Lonchura striata: one gene and its partner. The protein of the gene in region 1 interacts with the protein of each later gene in a pairwise test. Links are inferred from orthologs where the notes say so. Each region holds a gene or a part of one and is shown on either strand. Other genes may lie near its edges. The genes, in order: SH3GL3 and RPL35A.

Region 1 (8,801 bases):
ATGCCAGCAACAACATAGGCACCTAAAAGTAACAAGATCTCCAAGTTGGAGCTGTCTAGGAGTCCATCCACATGGTGTAATTTGCAAGATTAGGACTGCTAATTTTCAGAAACTTCAGAATGACAGAGCTCCATACACAAAAATGTAGGTTGCTGAGTTTTTAAAATTAGAGTATCTACTTATGGTATGGACATATGTAACTTTAAAAAAATCTCTATCTAGATCTTGAACTTACCTGAATCATTTATATGTCTTTGTAAAATAAACACATAATTAGAATGATCTTTATTAATGGCATAAGACCTAACACACTTTTGTTTTGTTATTGACACTTGCAGAACAACAGCCAGAGATTTAGCAAAGTGATGACAGAAGGTATGTGCAGTATTACGGAGAAGCATGTGGAATAAAAACACAGGAAGGAGACAAGAAAAGCGAGGATCTGCATAATGGTAAAGCAACACATATGGAAAGTCAGCTTGAGAAGAACAGTCACATATGCCAAAAATAATTCACTAGTTACATTTAGTTAGAAGATCTGGGGAGCAAACATAAGCATCCTAAACAACTGCAGTAGGTTAGCCAGAGTGTCTGCTGGCCCCAGGGTCACATATTCCTGCTCTAACTGCCAGCAGCATCCCTTTGGAATGAGGAGCTTTCCAAATGCTGGCCAGTGCTGGCTGTGGAGGGAAAACTGTCTGTTCTTTTCCGTTTCTCATGATTTCTTATGAAATGTATACTGCAATGTAAAGCCCTTTCAGAAATACCTGAGCCAGTTGATCTGCGCAGAATGCGCTGATCTGCAGAATTGCTTGGTTATGTTCTAGAAACAAAAGTGTAATGTTGGTGTGTGACCAATTATATATCTTTTTGTTTAATTATAAATAATTATTTCATTTAAATATATAGAAAGGCTGCTAAAACAGCCACATGATTTAACCTTACCATCCCGGGCATATTTTGCAGAAGGATTTTCTGTTCTTGTTACTGGGATCATTTGCTGTTGGCATTGCTTTCACAGTGTCAGCTCCCAAGTTTGTTGTATGAAATCTATAAAATAATGAAATGGATGACATTTGGGACTGATTTCACCAAGTGTTCTAGTCCTTTGGAACTCACTCTGGAACACTGTTTTATATTACTTCTTTTGCTTGGGTCAAAACTTAAGAATCAGTGTCACGAGTTTAGCAATCCCTTCCTTTTTCTAGAATTGTCAAACTAGTGCTTTATTTTGAAGGCTTTCTACAAGTTTGCTTTTGTAGAGTGGGTTATTGGCCAACTGTTCTTTCAAATGGCATCATTTTCCTAGAGGATCATCTTTTCCAAATGCTTGTTTTCTAAACAATTTGCAAGTATGCTCTCTTCCTGTGACCAAAACCACAGCCTATTGCTACAGTTTTGACAACATGAAAACTAACTAGGTAATCTGCACTGTCATTACATACAGATAATCCTTACAGACCATTAATGGATATCACACCACGTCTGAGAGTCTTGATCACTGTTGTTTGTAGTTGCTCTTGCCCTGGATCAGGTGAGTACATCCAAAGTCTCCTTCTAATGCCTTGTGTTGAAATGTATTTCATGATAAGCTGATACACAGTAATTTATCTTTTCCTTAAGGCCTAAATATTAAAAAAGAAAAAAAGCTTTAATAATGTAGTCAGCATGGCCCAGAATCAAATACAATAGAATTTCATTGCAAACTCATCTTTCCTCCCTTTTTTGTTGTTTTCTTTTATGGCAGTAACCACCAAAGACCCAGATTATATTTCAATGGCAGTTTTCATTATTTTTAAGAGACATTCAAATGAATGTGAATGTAGTTGGCATCAAATTCCAAGTAAATTCAAATGCTAAGGTGCCTCTATATAATTTAAAAAAGTACCTCTAGTTTCCATTTTGCTGGAAACCTAATACTTCATGTGGCTGCTACTGCAATTTCAGCTCTTACAAGATGATTTGTTCATTGAAAACAAATCACCTATGAGATTTTTTGTCATATCTATAGATTGAATTTCTGATGATAGTGTTTTTCCCATAGTATCAGCCACACTGAAATGCAAGTGTATTATAAATTTAACCTTTTATTCAATATTCTCTCCTGTTTAAATTTCACCAGACCAATTTTCAAGCACGGTTGTCCCATGTGAGCAGGCAGTGCATATTTTCTAGTCACTACCTTGATCTGAGCCCAATTAGGAGTTCTCAGTTTGTGCAAATTTCATTGTCCATTTTAGCACACATGATTCAGTAACATGTTGGAGCCATTATGAATTCCTCTCATGCACTTTAATGTTTCCAGAGTAGTGGAAGTGTAATTGTTGCTTGAATACCCAGACATCTAGAACTTTTTCCCTGAAGGTCCCCTCTGTGAAGTATTTTTCACTCTGCCCTAGCCTGTCTTCTAACAACTTTATTATAAGCTTTTTTTCCATCATGTCAGCATTTACCTGAACCATTTGCCAAGTTTTTTTGTAGTATTTCTCATTTCTCTTATTTTATAGACTAAATCACTAACTTTGCATAAATCTTAAGGATTATCATTCAGCAAATTGCAATACTTTTTTTTTCCATGTGGTAAAACTATGACATTCTAGACATTCCTTAGCCACTGTGTATTGCTGGCTACAAGCTATAACTTTTACTTGTTACTGAACTGAATACCAGTGTATTTCAGGGTGCCTCCACCAAGTCATCAGTTGACTACACAAGTTGGCTCATTAAATAGGTTTTCACCTTGTCTGTATCACTGAGCAATTAGGCTATGGCGTGAAATTCCCACTTGCAAATTTTTGTACCCCTTCATCAGACAACATGGCTGCTATCCTTGGGCTACAAAAAGGATTTTTTTTTTAAAAAGAGAAGTTGTAGACATGCAGCCTTACTAAAGTTCTTTATCTAATCCAATTTTACAGCTAACACCCACAGCAACTCCATAATCCATTCATTCCCCTCCACAGAGATTTATTTCAAACTCCTTCCTTCTTTGCTCTGGTCCAGCTGTTCCTAAAGCTGAAGATTAGCCAAAGCTGCCTTGTCTCCCTAATTCCATAGTACACTAAGAGCTTGCTTTAATTCCTTTTATGGAGCTCCAATATCCTAGTTTAGGCCTTATTTCCTCACCTGAGGTGTCTAAAACATGTCACTAATTTAAGCCATAACTAATTTGGCCCTGACAGTTAACATCTTGCTGCCAGTTTCAATCAGGGAGGAGAAACAACTGCTGAAATCAAGTGTCTGTGGTGTAATCATGTTTACTTGTAAGGATGACAAAAATGCTCTTTCCCTAGACACAGGTGGCACCAGATAACATGGTGATGCCAGGCTTCTTTCGAACATTTCCAAATCCCTGAAGAACTTCACCTAACAGTTTGTCTTCCAGAGCAAATGTTGACTGGTGCTCTCCTCTTTGCTTTCTCTTCTGCCTCTCCTCTACAGAGAGTCCTTTGTCAAGTAACAGCCAGATCCTTAACTCATTAATGTGTTTGTCTTTGCACTTTGTTCCTTAGTAATATAATGATTTTTTCTAAGAGGTGGGAATAGCAATTTCTTTCTCCCAAATTACAGTGTGACAACCAGTATGAAAGTTCTTGTATTTTTTTTTCTTTGCTATTCTAAAGAAGCAACTCTATCATATTCTGAAAATGTTTTTCTCTCCTAACCCAATCAAAATGCAGTGAGCATGACAGTGAGTAACACAGAGTCCTGCTGCAGCCAGCAAAGCTTATCTCTGAACTGCTCCCCAGGTCCCTGCGTAAGTTTCAGCTGAATCATAACTCCCAAGTATCCTTACAGCCAGGATCAAGCAGCATTATCACAGAGCTTATCTTCCCCAGAATGTAAGCATCGCTTGAAATTGCTCTACCATGAGGGCAGAACCACATCTCTAATTTATATCAGCACATTCCTGATACACAGTCATATTTCAGTATATAATCTGTAAATCCCTCACATAACAACCAACCAAACAGCTAAAACATCCTTTCAGCAGAGCTCTTTCTAGTCTATCTGCTCTTCTGAGTGAGAGACTGTGCCTTTGGAACCCTGAGCAGCATCACTGCCGGTATGGAGTCACACGACAAAGTGGATATTTTCTGGTGCATAGAACCAGCCAGGTGTGTTCTGGACTGCTGCAAGAGCTTTCATGTTTCAAGAGCTATAATTAAATTACCACCTACAATAATGGATCTGAGGTTAATGAGCTCAGAGATGCTACGTTGAACCACAAGAAATGAGACAGATCCATAATGAGACATTTTCAGCCTTATTCAAAATAAGACAGATAAAACTGGGCAGCTGACTGGCCTTTTGGTGCCTGGGCTGTGCGCCCCACCAGCGGGTGCCCTGTGGGTACCCAGGCGGTGCTCCCCGTGGCAGAGTGCTGTGGGTGCGCTATGGGTGCCCAGGAGATGCTCCCCGCAGGAGGGGTGCTCTGTGGTGCTTTGTGGGTGCTCTGTGGTGCTCTGTGGGTGCTCTGTGGTGCTCTGTGGGTGCTCTGTGGTGCTTTGTGGTGCTCTGTGGGTACTCTGTGGGTACTCTGTGGATGCCCAGGAGATGCTGCCCGCAGGAGGGGTGCTCTGTGATGCTCTGTGGTGCTCTGTGGTGCCCTGTGGATGCCCAGGAGATGCTGCTCGCAGGAGGGGTGCTCTGTGATGCTCTGTGGTGCCCTGTGGTGCCCTGTGGTGCCCTGTGGTGCTCCCCGCCGCCGCCGTGCCCTCGCCGGGCCGGCGCAGCCCCCGCCCGGCTCCCGCCGCTGTCTCCATGCGACAGCGCAGCGTGGGCGTCTCCCAGCGCCTCATTTGCATAGCCCGGCGAGCGGCCAATGGGCGGGCGGCGCTGCCGCTTCATTTGCATGTGGCCGGGCGGCGGCCAATGGGGCGGCGGCGGCCGGGCGCGCGGAGGGCGATGCTGGCGGCGCGCGGGCGGCGCTGCGCGGGGCCGGGCGCGCGGAGCTGCCGGGCGCGGGCGGCCCTGGGCCCGGGCGGCCGCGGGGCAGCGGCGGCGGGACCATGTCGGTGGCGGGGCTCAAGAAGCAGTTCCACAAAGCCAGCCAGGTACGGGGCCGCGGCGGGGCCCGGCGGGCTTGGCTGCTGATGGGCGGTTCGCCCGGCGCCCGCTCCCGCACGGGCGGCGGGTCCCTCCTCCGTCTGTGGCAGCATCGCCCTGGCACCTCCGGGGAGTGTTTCCTCCAGCGTTACCTCCGGGCCCGGAGCCTGTGCTTTTGCCTGTCAGCTGCCTGTGCTCTTCTCACAGGAGAAGCTTGCCCCGTCCAGTTATTTTGCTTGGGGCTTCAGGTCTTTCCTTTACTTATTAACATTTGTTATTTGGTGATGGGTTCGTGTTCGTGTTTTGAGGCCTCAGTTAAAGCTACAGCCTGTATAGTAGCAGCTTTCCCCTAAAGGGTTCATTGTTTTGATCTGCCACGAATTGCTGGTTTATTATCCTACCTGGAATGTCATGTATTTGTCCTGTAGAGGGTATCAGATGTTTCTAGAGTTTTCCCTCCTTTTCTAGATGCTGTACTCTTCTCTAGAGTGGCTCTTCATCTTCTTCTGACCTCTTTATCTCTTTTCTCTTTTATATGTGCTTTGCTTTAATAGTTTACCTCGTTTCTTTTAAGAGAGAAGCACCTTTCTGCCAAGCAGGAGCTCTGGTTGGATTCCATGGCAGGATGGTGCCAGTTGCAAACCCTGCATTGATGCAGGGGCTTCAGGACATGGCTGCAGTGGGATTCTTCCACTCAAGGTTTTTGGAAGTCTCAGCTGCTTTGCTTGCTCATTCCATATCAAAGAGATCTGTATATCTGCTGGTTGTCATTAATGATAATGGTAATATTGAAATTAGTGGCTGTAACCTGTTCAGTAAAATCTTACAGCTGCTTTTGTCTTGGTGAGAGTGAGGAAAATAAAGATTCATTGAGTGCTTGGCTGTCATCTTGCTAGGTCTTCCTTCAGCTATGTAGCTTGTCAGCAGCCCAAGTGCAGAATCTGCACTTTATTTGGATACAGAGATGCTAAATATTTTTATCTAATGTTTCAGTAGTGTGCTCTCTTTCAAGGAATGTACTGATCCTGAAAAATGTTGTGAATTGGTATCTTTTAGTTAATTTTCACTGTTACTTTGAGAAAATGCTGGACCTGTAGAGTAAACAAATCCAAGGACAATTTATTAAAGATTTTGCCTTGTTTTGCATCATATCAGATGCTGGTAAGTGGTGCAGCCTTTGCTGTAGTGAGCTTGTAACTCAGGAAGCTGAAGATACTTCAGTGAGGAAGTTTGAGAGGTAACCACAGGAAGAACCCTCTTGTCTAGCAACTGGTAACAGTGCAGGTTACTTAATCCTGCTCAGATGTCAGGTAAACAAACAAAAGGATGGGTGGGATCTGATAAAGGTAGTAGTAATGGCAGAAAGGAGATGTAGAATATATTGAATTTGACTGCATCTATTGGAAAGTTGTGGTATGACTTCCAATATTTAATGCAGTAAGAAACTGCAATGCATAACTCATAAAAATGTTTTTCTTCTCGGGATGGGTCAAAGGTAAAAGTTTCAACTTATTTTCAAATGAACTGAGGAAGAAATTTTAAGTCAATTGATTGAAAAAGTCTGTAGTTATGGAAATGTGTTTACTAGAAAATTAAAGTTGAGGAATGAGATACTGGAATTTTTTTTGGTACATAAGGTAATAGAAGACAGTTCTTAAAAGCTCATTCTGTAATAATTCAGATAAGATGTTGGGCAAAATAGTAGTGAGAAAATAACAAATAGCATATATATGTAGTGGATCAAAACAGCCATGTCTAAACAATGAAAGTGCTTATCTCTGGCACACAGAGACACAGTCATGCCTAGATGTATTAACTTGTTGAACTAACAAAAATAAGGTGGGACATGAAAAATGGAAATATTGGGATTCCATCTTTTAGAAGAATTATTTTACAAAATGCTAAAACAAGCAAATGCAGAGCATGAGAGGTATTTCTCTACAGAAGATTTGTTAAATTTCCAAGTACTGTGGGCTCACTTAAGGAGACAGAGACCTTTGTGTATTGAGTGGATGAAAGATGCCAATGGTAACTGTTAGCAGCAGAGACAGGCATTGCTTGGAGAAAGAATGAAATTAATTCCTTTAGTGTTCCCAAAAGAGAATGGGGGCAGATGACAAAAACTGGCAAATGTCCCAGAGGACATTGAGGAATACTGGAGGGAATGAGACTACTGTCAGGACACGTGATTAAGGAATAAGAATAATATCTGAAAGCTGACAGAACCTAAGGATAAAAAATCTGCAAGTGTATTCAGACAGTCTGTATTTAATAGTTCATTCAGAAATATGAATAAATATCCAAAAAATGACAAGATCCATATATATTATTTCCATGCTAAAATAGACTTCTGTTAAATGGAAATTACTATTTTAATGAAATATAGAGTAGTATAGATACATAGTTATAAAAGTAAAAAAAAATAGAGTTATTCTAAATTCTGCTTGCTCTTACTGAACCACTGAACTTTTTTGCAAAAAACTTCATTTCAGTTTTGTGCTTGTAAAAAGCCTGTGTGTCTTTATGTAAAGCTTTTGTTGACTAGGGGTGATTACCTTTGTGTGTAGGCTTAAATTCTAAGTGCAGGAGTCCAGGAAAACAAAAATTACTTACGATTTTATATGCAGTTGAGGTTTCTGGGATGTTTGCCTGATCCTTGTCAGCTTGGTTTGTCTGAAGTTACACTTAAGTAAATGAGTGTTTGCTTTATTAAAGGTCAGCAGCTAACTTTGTATGGTTACTAATGCCCTTGCCAAAATCAGGCACGACAAGCTATTGCAAACATGGCTGGTGTAGTAAAAAGTCACCATGGGTCTGTCTGTTTGTAATTCAGTAATTCACTGGAATTTCTGGATGGTTCGGATGGTGTTCCCCTAGAGTTTCTTAACCGGTTGTATTTTTTTTCCACTGAAAATTGCATGTTCTAGTTAAAGATCTAGATCTAGTGCCAGGCAGTGAGATCTAGAAGACAGCTCTTGGGTTACAGTGTCAAAATTTACTGCAGTGAGGTCTGTACCCAGAGGGAGTAGAGTTTGTGCTGTTTTTCTGTATATTCCAATATATAAAGCTGCAGTGCTACTCCATTATCTGTCCCCTAATAATTGCTTGCCCTGGTGTCATGGAATGGACAGACCCAAAGCTGAGATGGATCTCAAAGTTTCTGTGTCTGTTATGAAGTGATAACGCCCTTCGTGTTCTTAGAATTTTCTTTACTATGCCTTCTACTTCAGTTGTAAGTTTATATTAAAGTTCTTCAATTGAAAGTGTACTTCAGTGAGAATCTCTTCCATTCTCTTAGTTAAATATCAATGATGATTCCTTGAGTATAACTCATTTAACTCATGAAATCCGAAGAAGAACCTATGAAGTGTCTTACCACCTCTCAATGGCTGATAAGCAAGGGCAGGCTTTTTCTGAGGGCTGATTAATGTGCACCTCCCATGAAATTCAGCTTTTAAAAAAATTATTATTTTTAAAAATAAAGTTTAGTGAAGTTTTGTTTGCAGTGAGAGTTTGTGTCCTGTTGCTTTCAGGCTCTGCCAGATCGGAGCTGTTTTTCTGTTTTCGGTTTGAAGGCTTTTGATGTAGGTGTGTTTATCTGCCTGCTGCTTCTGCAGGCCTGGTTCTCGTGGTGGTTGTGCATGTGGGATAACCCAAGTGGTGGGAGGACTGCATCTTCTGGTGTGTACTGGGAGTATTTTTAGAGTTTAGAAAAGCAGGAAGCACTGAGAGTGAATAAGAAAGCGTTAATA
Region 2 (8,710 bases), on another chromosome or scaffold:
CCTGCTGTGTCACTTATAGACCTCAGTACTTAGAGCCATTTACCCCTCAGGATGGCCCCATCCTGATTCCTAAGTCTAACAGCTACCAGAAATGTCACCACACCTTCTTCCACAGCAATAAACCCCTGCCTGAGCATTAGGAATTCTCTGTTCTCCATATCTCCATATCTCCATATCTCTGCCCAACCATCTTAGCTATGATGCCTATTAGAAATCAACTAATAATTAATGATCACTGAGAAAGGGTAGTTACTAATATATTTTGAAGTGCATCTTTCTTAATACATTGTGGGAACAAAAGGATCTTTGGCATGGACTTAGGGAGGAATAGAATTAACCTGGTTTTGAGTACTTTGAAATAACCTATACATTTCTACTTTCAAAATAGCTCTGCATCTACAGAAGAACCTACATATGTTTTGCTTCCTTTTCCCCAATTCCTTCCTTATTGTCTAACAACTGAGATTTTAAAATCATAATCTTAGGAACCTCATCTTGGATCAGTAGAGTCCTTTGCACAAATTCATAACCAAGGCTTCTCAGTGATGCTGCAATATAAATATTAAAATTAGGTCACTTTTATTGTGTTTCTTCACCCAAGGGTCACGGAATAACAGAAAATATATTTGAGTTAATTTGTTTAAAACGCTGATTAAAGATACAAAACCAAGACGAAGAAAAACAAAAAGATATGATATACATCTGTTTAAGCAGTGGCACATACATGGTTGATGTCTGTCTTGTCCTCATGTGGAACTGGCATGATATATCCAAGAATTGCAAGTTGATCCACACAGTTCTCCAGCACAGCACTAAACCTCAGAGCTTCTACATGAGTGATTTTTTCCATTTGTTTAGTCTCTGTGTTCTTGCTAGGAGGAACAAAGATAAAAGATACCAATCAGAAAAATGCTGTGGTGTTATTAATGTTAGTAACAGTAGTTTAAATGAAAGGTAGACACAAAAAAGCCTTATTTGCAGCCTTACATATACTTCCCTGGCTTTGTTTATAACCTTCCATACACTGTTTATAAGAGGAGCTGTGCTCTGCTAATGGCTGCATTCAGGGACAGTGGGAATGTTTAGCTTTCACAAAACAAAGAGGTCCTGGTCCCTCCTACAGCAGGTCTGGGTAGAGAGGCTGAGAAGGGGATGGGTATGGAGGGCACAAACTGGGTGAGGTACCTCATTATTCACTTCAGGGGGAGCAGTGGCTCATCGTGGAGTTTGGGAAACAACAGAAGAAAGGTGCCTTTTTAAAATAATAATACTAAAAAATCCACATCCTATAAAATCTCAGAGGGTGAACATTCATGCTCTAATCATTCCTCAATATTACTGTGTAGCCTTCACACTTTTATGATCCCAGTCCGCTCTCAGCAGGAATTGTTACCATCTTAAGATGCTGAAAGTTAAACAAGAACCAATATCTGGACTGAATAAACAATCTTAATTTTCTGTATTATTTTATTTTAACTTGCAATTCGAACATGAAACTGCTCTGAAATACACTTAAGCACCCCTTTGCCTTGCCTACAGATGAAATATTGTGAAAGCATATCTAAGGAAAAATGAAAATTCACTATTAATCCAGAAATACCTAAGAAAACACCTGCACAACAATGGGAAAATTCTCTGAGAATTGTAATGGTTTGATATGCCATTGGACAATCCCTCCAAAGCCTGTACATACAAACCAGGTATTTCTTGTACAACATGTAGCACAACTGCAGTCTGAGGTGGTTGAGATCCTGAGTATCAACAACCACTAACAAAATCTTAATTTGGCTGCTCTACCTACAACTGGATTTGTGCCATCTGTAAAACCCTTGCATAAACATATCCTAAGCCTGCAAAATATTACAGCCCAACCTGCAAGTATGCCAAGGAAACACATCAGGCACTCCCTGTTAGCATAAGACATGGCCATATTCTATGAATATTAAAGAGGTTTGGATGCAGCTGTGCTCTGCATCACTGGAAATCAGTGATATTTCACAAGCAAGTGTTTAAAAATATACATACTTGCTATAACCTCTCTGAAGCTGTTATAATTTGCCCTCCTCCTTTTTTTTGTTGTTTTTGTTGAAGAAAATCTGTAATTTACAGTTGGACCGTGAAGTTAATTTCACTTGGCAGAAAAGAACCACTTTTCAGTGCAGGTTTATTTGATGTCTGTTCGTATAGAATAGGTAAAACAAACAAATGTAACTCAGATTCCACACATTTATTTCCTGATGTCCCTGTCTGCTGCAGGAAGTCGTTTAATGCAACACATGTTGAAATGTGCTGAGAGAGGACATGGCTCTCCCTGGGGATGGGATTAGAAAGTGCACAGGGATTGCTCCCAGTAAATCCACAGGAAGGGCAGATACCAGGGAGAGACAGAGGTATTTAAGTTAAAGGATAATACTGCTCTGGGTAAAAGGAGAGTAAACGCCCCTAAGCCAGGCAATTATGATGAGGTTTCTAACTCCTGAATGGAAAATACAGAACAGCCTTTCAGCCAAGGTAATGGTAGAGGCACCCTAATTTATTTCAAGAAGCTTGATTAAATCATGGCAGAAAAAGATAACAGCAAAGTAGTGATTCTGAATATTATCAGTATGTTCACTAGACTTGTATTGTTTGTAACCACTTACATCTAATTCCTCTGAGCAGGGCTTTTAATGGTCACCTAGAATGAAGAGGAAAGTGATTTCATCCCTTTGCTTCTGAGATTTTTTTCTCTCTTTTATCTTAATTATAAAAAAAAAGTTTAACAGCTTGAGACAGGAATCTGATAAAAGCATTAACAAAAAAAAAAAAAAAAAAGAAAGGCAAATTATCTGTATAATACACTAAATCCATCACTTTTCTTGTCAACCTTGGAATCAGCTATAGAAGTGGAGATGCAGTATTTTTACATCAAGAAAGTCAGGCAGTGTCTCCAGTCAACAGGCACTAATAAAATATTTTTCAATGCTTTACTCATTTTTATCTTTTTCAGAAATCCATAATCCATATTTTGAATCTAAACAACCTAGGAATAATCTATTACATGTGGAGTCATAAAATATAACTAGTCTGCTAAAAATATGATGAAAAAAGATGTGTTGGGAGATAGCTGTGACATGATTACAGCAGGATTTTTGGAAGAAGAAATAACATGTGCAGCTCTCATAGGAAAAAGAGACTTATTTGGAAACAAAGGAGGATGCAACAGCTTTTCCTCTTTTCTGTCAGCAGCTTCTGACCAGGAGAGAATTAACTCAGGATATTAATATGTTTCAAGAAAGCTGGCGGCTGGAATGTTTCTCTAAAGCCCCTTTGCTGCTTTGCTCCTCCTGTGTATCTTCTCTTACATTCACATCCTTGCTCAGCAGATCCCTGTGCCAAGCCAGTGGGGTCTGGGCTTATGTTAAGTTGGACTTGAGAAGGAAACCACTGTCTGGGGCATTAGCAAACACTACAGATATGAGCTGCTTGCTGTGGATTTTAGTGCCAACACAGTGCCCCTCAGACCATCCACGGCATCACCCTGCATTGCTGTGTTTGCTGAACTCCCTCATTAAACTCTATTAATAATTTTTTTTAAAGTATGTGAAGGATTCAACTTCCCCCATGAGTTTTGGATGACATTCTTTCCCTGCTGATATAAAGGGAAAGAAAAACATATCAAGTAATAATTTTTAAAGCAAGTGTATAAAAGGTCTGGTCTCCTGTTCCTTTGGGGATTGCAACTTCCTCTGCTGTGTGAGAGTCCTGGATGTACATTTCTCCCACCCTGCTGCCTGATAAAGGAAAGTGGATTCAAAAGCAGCATTTTGTGCAGCATTCCTTGTAGTCAGAAGATACTTCATTGAATTCCAGTGATAAAATGCATAGCTGGCAATGTCACATCTCCTTTAGGTCTGTTTGGCAAATGACTGGCGAAGAGAGGTTCTGAATATCCACAGGAGCAGCAGCGGAGCCAGAAATCAACTTCATTTTTACCAAAGAAAAGTCTCTTGGGAAGCAAAATAGGTGTGGCCTTACCTTACACAGCTCTGCCTCCGGCTAGAAATATTAGGACAGCAAGGTGCTCATTTTGGAAAAAAAAAAAAAAAAGCGGGGGGGGGGGGGGAAGGGCAAGGAAAGGAGAGAGGAAGGGGAAGGGAAAGAAAGGGATGAAAAGAGAAGGAAAGGGAAAGGGAAAGGGAAAGGGAAAGGGAAAGGGAAAGGGAAAGGGAAAGGGAAAGGGAAAGGGAAAGGGACCACCAAGATTCCTTAAGGTTTCCCTTCCCTTCACCTTCCTTCCCTTAAATCACTTCAAGCGCTCTGAAAATGCACCAGAATTTCTGGCAGTGTGAGGGAAGTGACAGAAATCGGGATTGAATAGCCCTGACGTGAGCAAATGGGTAAGTACATGCTTCCAGATCTTATTTAGTAAAATAAAGGAATGTGAGACTTGGTTACAGGGATTTCAGTGTCGAAATATGTTTTCTGCCTCCAAGGCGATATCAGAAGTAAACTAAATGCCGAGATGATTAATTGACTCAGGGTGAGAACATCGGACGGGCAGGGCCGGCCGGGAGCCGCCCCGAGCACCAAGGGCTGCTCTCTCCTCCCGCGCTGCCTCTCTTCGGGCTCCGCGGCCCGTTTTCATTCGCCCTGCCTAGACCGACCCGGGCTCCCCTCAACCTCTCACCGGGATCTGCCCTTATTTCCCCCGATCCCGGTCCCGATCCCGGTCCCGGTCCCGATCCCGGTCCCGATCCCGATCCCGATCCCGGTCCCGATCCCGGTCCCGGTCCCGGTCCCGATCCCGGTCCCGATCCCGATCCCGGTCCCGGTCTCGGTCTCGGCCCCGCCCTCACCGGGACGCGCCGCTCGTCTCCATGGCAACCACCGCGCTCGGGGCCTCGCGGGGATGGCCCGCGGGTGCCTGTGCAGCGGGGCTGTGGCCGCCCCTCCTGGGATCGCTCTTGCGGGGATCGCGGACACGGGACACGGGACACGGGACAGGGGACACGGACAGGGGCCGGGCGGTACCTTCCTCAACCCGGTGCCGCTCACTCCGGCAGCGCTCGGGCCGCCCGCTCGGGTCCTGGCCGCGCATTTCCCGGCAGGCAGCGGGGCGCGGCTCTCTTTCGCCGCCATCTTGGGGCGCTGGGGGTGAGGCGGAGCGGGGCCGCGGCCGGGAGCGGGGCCGGGAGCAGGGCCGGGGGCGGTGCCCCCGCCGTAGGGCCGCCGGCGGGCGCGGGGCTCCCGGGGCGCGGCGGACGGCGCGGTTTGGGGCGGGGACAAGGCGGGATGGCGCCGATGCGCGGCGGATGGTCCCAGTGGCGGGTTGGGGCCCTGGGCTGGAGCGGGGCTGAGGCGGCTGCTGAGGTGCGGAGCGGAGGCTGCCGGGCAGCCCCCGGGTGCTCGGGGTCTCGCTGGCCGGGCCGGGTGGAGATGCCGGCCCGCGGCTCACGGCTGTGTGTCGTTTCCAGGCCTGCCGGGACCGGCTCTGCGGGAGGACGCCATGGCCGGGAGGTGAGTGAGGGCCGGGCTGGCGCTCGGCTCGCTGCTGCAGCGCTGTAGGAGCGTTCCTGGGAGCGTTTGCTCAGCAGGGCAGTGAGCGGTGTTGCGCTGCCCAGCGTCCTGCTGGGCCCTGTGGAACGCCCGCAGTTGTGTGTCCCTGCTCTGAAATCTCTTGAGCTGGTTCTAGTTGCTGTTACGGTGTGCCACGCTCTCCTTGGCCTGTCAGTAAATATCAGTGTGAAATTTGTGGGTTTGTTAGCTCAGTGTTTGTTAATCTCCAGTGTGCAGTGGAGCTTTGACATAAACTGTTTCCTTGAGTAAAGGGAGCAACATGTTTTTCCCATGGGTAAATTTTCTGTTGTGCTGCCGAATTTTCTTAAAGGATGTAGGGATTGAGTTCGTAAGTGAAGGGATTAAATGTGAATACTGTGGAGTTGCCTGGAGAAGCTGTGGCTGCCCCATCCCTGGAAGTGTTCAAGGTCGAGCTGGGTGGGACTCTTGAGCCTGATCTAGCGTGAGGTGTTCCTGCCTATGTAGGAGAGTCAAAACTGGATGGTCTTAAATGTCCCTTCCAACCCAAACCCTTCGATGGTTCTGTGAATCCCAGCTTTATGTCCTAACATTAATGTGTGGAGTTTGTCCTGTTGCACGTGTGGCAGGTAGAACTGGATATCCCAGTTGGATCCTGCTGTATCCCAGAGCAGGTGCTGGATGCCCCTGGGCCAGATGTGCTGTGGCTGCTCGGTGTGTGGGACAGGTCCTGTAATGACCTTACATGGGCAGTGCAGGTGTCCTGAAGAATTGCTGAGGAGTTTGTGTAATGTCTGTGCCCAGTGGATGTCAGGCTGTTGCTCTGGCTCCTCCTTTGAGGCTACAAATCAGGGTCAGTTCATACCTTCTATAGCAGTTACTGCAACACGGGAGATTTCATGTGGTGTGTAGAAAAAAAAGTAATGTTTACTCATCAGTGTTAGTAGACATTTAGAAATAATATCTGCTAATGCTGGAGTATTTGAATCTTAGTATGAAGCCAGTATTGTAGTGCCAGGAGTTTATGACAAGCAAAAAGTGTAATATTTTCATAAATACTTCAAGTTCCACATACTCAGCTTTGCTCTGTTCATTGATGTAAGTATTTGCAGTGATTTGTAAAAGTCAGCTATTTCCTCTGCTGATTTCTACTGGTGTGGAATTAGTTCCTGCTGAAAGAGCCTGTGATTAGTTTTTATTTTTGTTATTTGGAAGTGAGTTATAATTTTCAGGTATTTTCCATGTCTTTAGGTTGTGGTGCAAGGCCATTTTTGCTGGCTACAAACGTGGCCTCCGAAACCAGCGGGAGCACACGGCCCTTCTGAAAATTGAAGGTGTTTATGCCCGTCAGGAGACAGACTTCTACCTGGGCAAGAGGTGTGCCTATGTGTACAAAGCTAAAAAGTAAGTAATGTTGTATTCTTGTGCTGAACTAGCCAATGCTTGTGTTGGTTTTGTAAATGCTAGGAGATCATGATGCTACATGATATGTAAGAGAGCAAATGGGATGAGAAACAAGTTTTGCCTAAGACTGACAAAAACTGAAAGTTGGGTGATGGAGTAAATTGAAGTGGGTGAATTTGTGTTAAATACTTTGAACTGTTCAGTTACTTAAACAGTAGAGTGATTTTGTGAAGCCTGGGTGAATTTGTGTTCTGACTTTCATGTGCCCATGTTTGAGCACTGTCTGTCACTTCTGCTCTGCTGTCATTGATAGACACCTTGGGAACAGCTGCTTATTGCTTCCACTTCCTTTTTTTTTCTTGACTGCTGTTGTTAGTGTGCAGAATTATCTTGAATAAAATTGATCAAACTGGTATGTTAGCAAAAGTGTTTTCCAAATTTTTGAGCTTTGTAAGCTGTTAATAGTTGTCAAGCTGTAATTACACCTTTGAAAGGTACAGTGAAAATCCCAGGCTGGGAAAATATCACAAGTAAAAAAAAGTGGACATTGGTCTAGTTAAAGATGGCTGTGGAGCTAAATTATTGAAGTGCTGTAGAGAGACCACATTGTCAGTGCTGGGTACAGCAGAGCTGTGACTGCCCTGCTGAGCTGTTCTTGGGCTCCTTTTCCCCAGCAACACGGTAACCCCCGGAGGCAAACCCAACAGGACACGCGTGATCTGGGGGAAGGTGACCCGCGCGCATGGCAACAGTGGCATGGTGCGTGCCAAGTTCCGCTCCAACCTGCCTGCCAAGGCCATTGGACACAGAATCCGGGTGGTAAGTGGGTTTGGTTTAGCAACAAGATACTTATTGGCAGTTTTTGGGTGCCTTCTAAATTCCTTATAATATGAGGGAACATTTGAACTTTGCTTTTGTTCTGTTGCTGTTGGGTGTTCAGCATGGCTCAGTGACTTTGTTTTGGAGCCTAGAGAGGCTTTTTGCTGCCTTCCTGTGCTGAGGGGGTTTGTCTTGTTATCAGGGGTTTGTGTGCTTGCTCAGGTTGTGTGGAAAGGCTCTTAAAGTTCCAGGACTCGGCTCCTGTCTAAAGCTGCCTTGATTTCTTTTCCACCATCTGTTCTGCATATTTTTGCACCCTTCTACTCCTTTACCTGTTTGATTTTTCTCTTACTTCCCAAATGTTTTAACTGAGAGCAGTGCTGTCCTGTCATGGCCACTTCCACCTGTTCCCACTGTTGGTGTTTTAGCCACAGGGCTTCAGTGGGACTATCCGTTTAGGTCTCTCACCTAGAGTTGTGATGTAATATTTTCGTAGTGATGTTGTCAAAAGGAATACAAGAGGGGTGTGGTCCTTTCTGTCTTTCTCCTGTGCCTTAGAAAAAGCACAGTAGGAGCAGCACAGATAATTCCTGAAATCCAGAGCCATGGGAACTCTTGTTGGTGCACAGGAGGGCTAGTTGCCATGGTGTCTGTGTCACCAGTGAAGTGCTCCTGCAAGTCATTCTCACACCTCTTCTGTATAAACTGGGGATTGCTTTAATAGCAGTTGAAGAGATTCATGGTCTAGATTGTAACTGCAAAACTCATGTTTGAATACAAGATTTCTAACGTGATTCTGTCTGGTTTTGTGTTTTACAGATGCTGTATCCATCTAGGATCTAAATTTTTATTCAAAATAAAATGGAGACTCTGTTTAACTTTTGTATATTTCTGGTTTGATTGCCTCCACAAATTTTGAGAGACCTCTTTCTCAGTAGTATCAGAGTTGACAGCACAGACAGAGACACTA

Evidence for each region.
Region 2: the proteins of SH3GL3 (region 1) and RPL35A interact in a two-hybrid assay, tested with the Homo sapiens proteins (2 studies listed by BioGRID and IntAct). The link is inferred for Lonchura striata from reciprocal best matches to the Homo sapiens genes SH3GL3 and RPL35A.

What each region holds. Positions count from the first base shown.
Region 1 is NC_134613.1:15,167,146-15,175,946, forward strand, and holds the start of SH3GL3 (endophilin-A3), read left to right. Parts: upstream 1-4,950; 5' UTR 4,951-5,012; coding exon 5,013-5,057; intron 5,058-5,102; exon of another isoform or gene 5,103-5,297; intron 5,298-8,801. UniProt on the Homo sapiens protein: Implicated in endocytosis. May recruit other proteins to membranes with high curvature.
Region 2 is NC_134612.1:17,892,635-17,901,344, forward strand, and holds RPL35A (large ribosomal subunit protein eL33), read left to right. Parts: upstream 1-5,064; 5' UTR 5,065-5,136; intron 5,137-5,456; 5' UTR 5,457-5,488; coding exon 5,489-5,499; intron 5,500-6,768; coding exon 6,769-6,921; intron 6,922-7,595; coding exon 7,596-7,740; intron 7,741-8,559; coding exon 8,560-8,583; 3' UTR 8,584-8,618; downstream 8,619-8,710. Other genes in the region: DRC9 (dynein regulatory complex protein 9), read right to left, coding at 725-872, 4,839-4,861.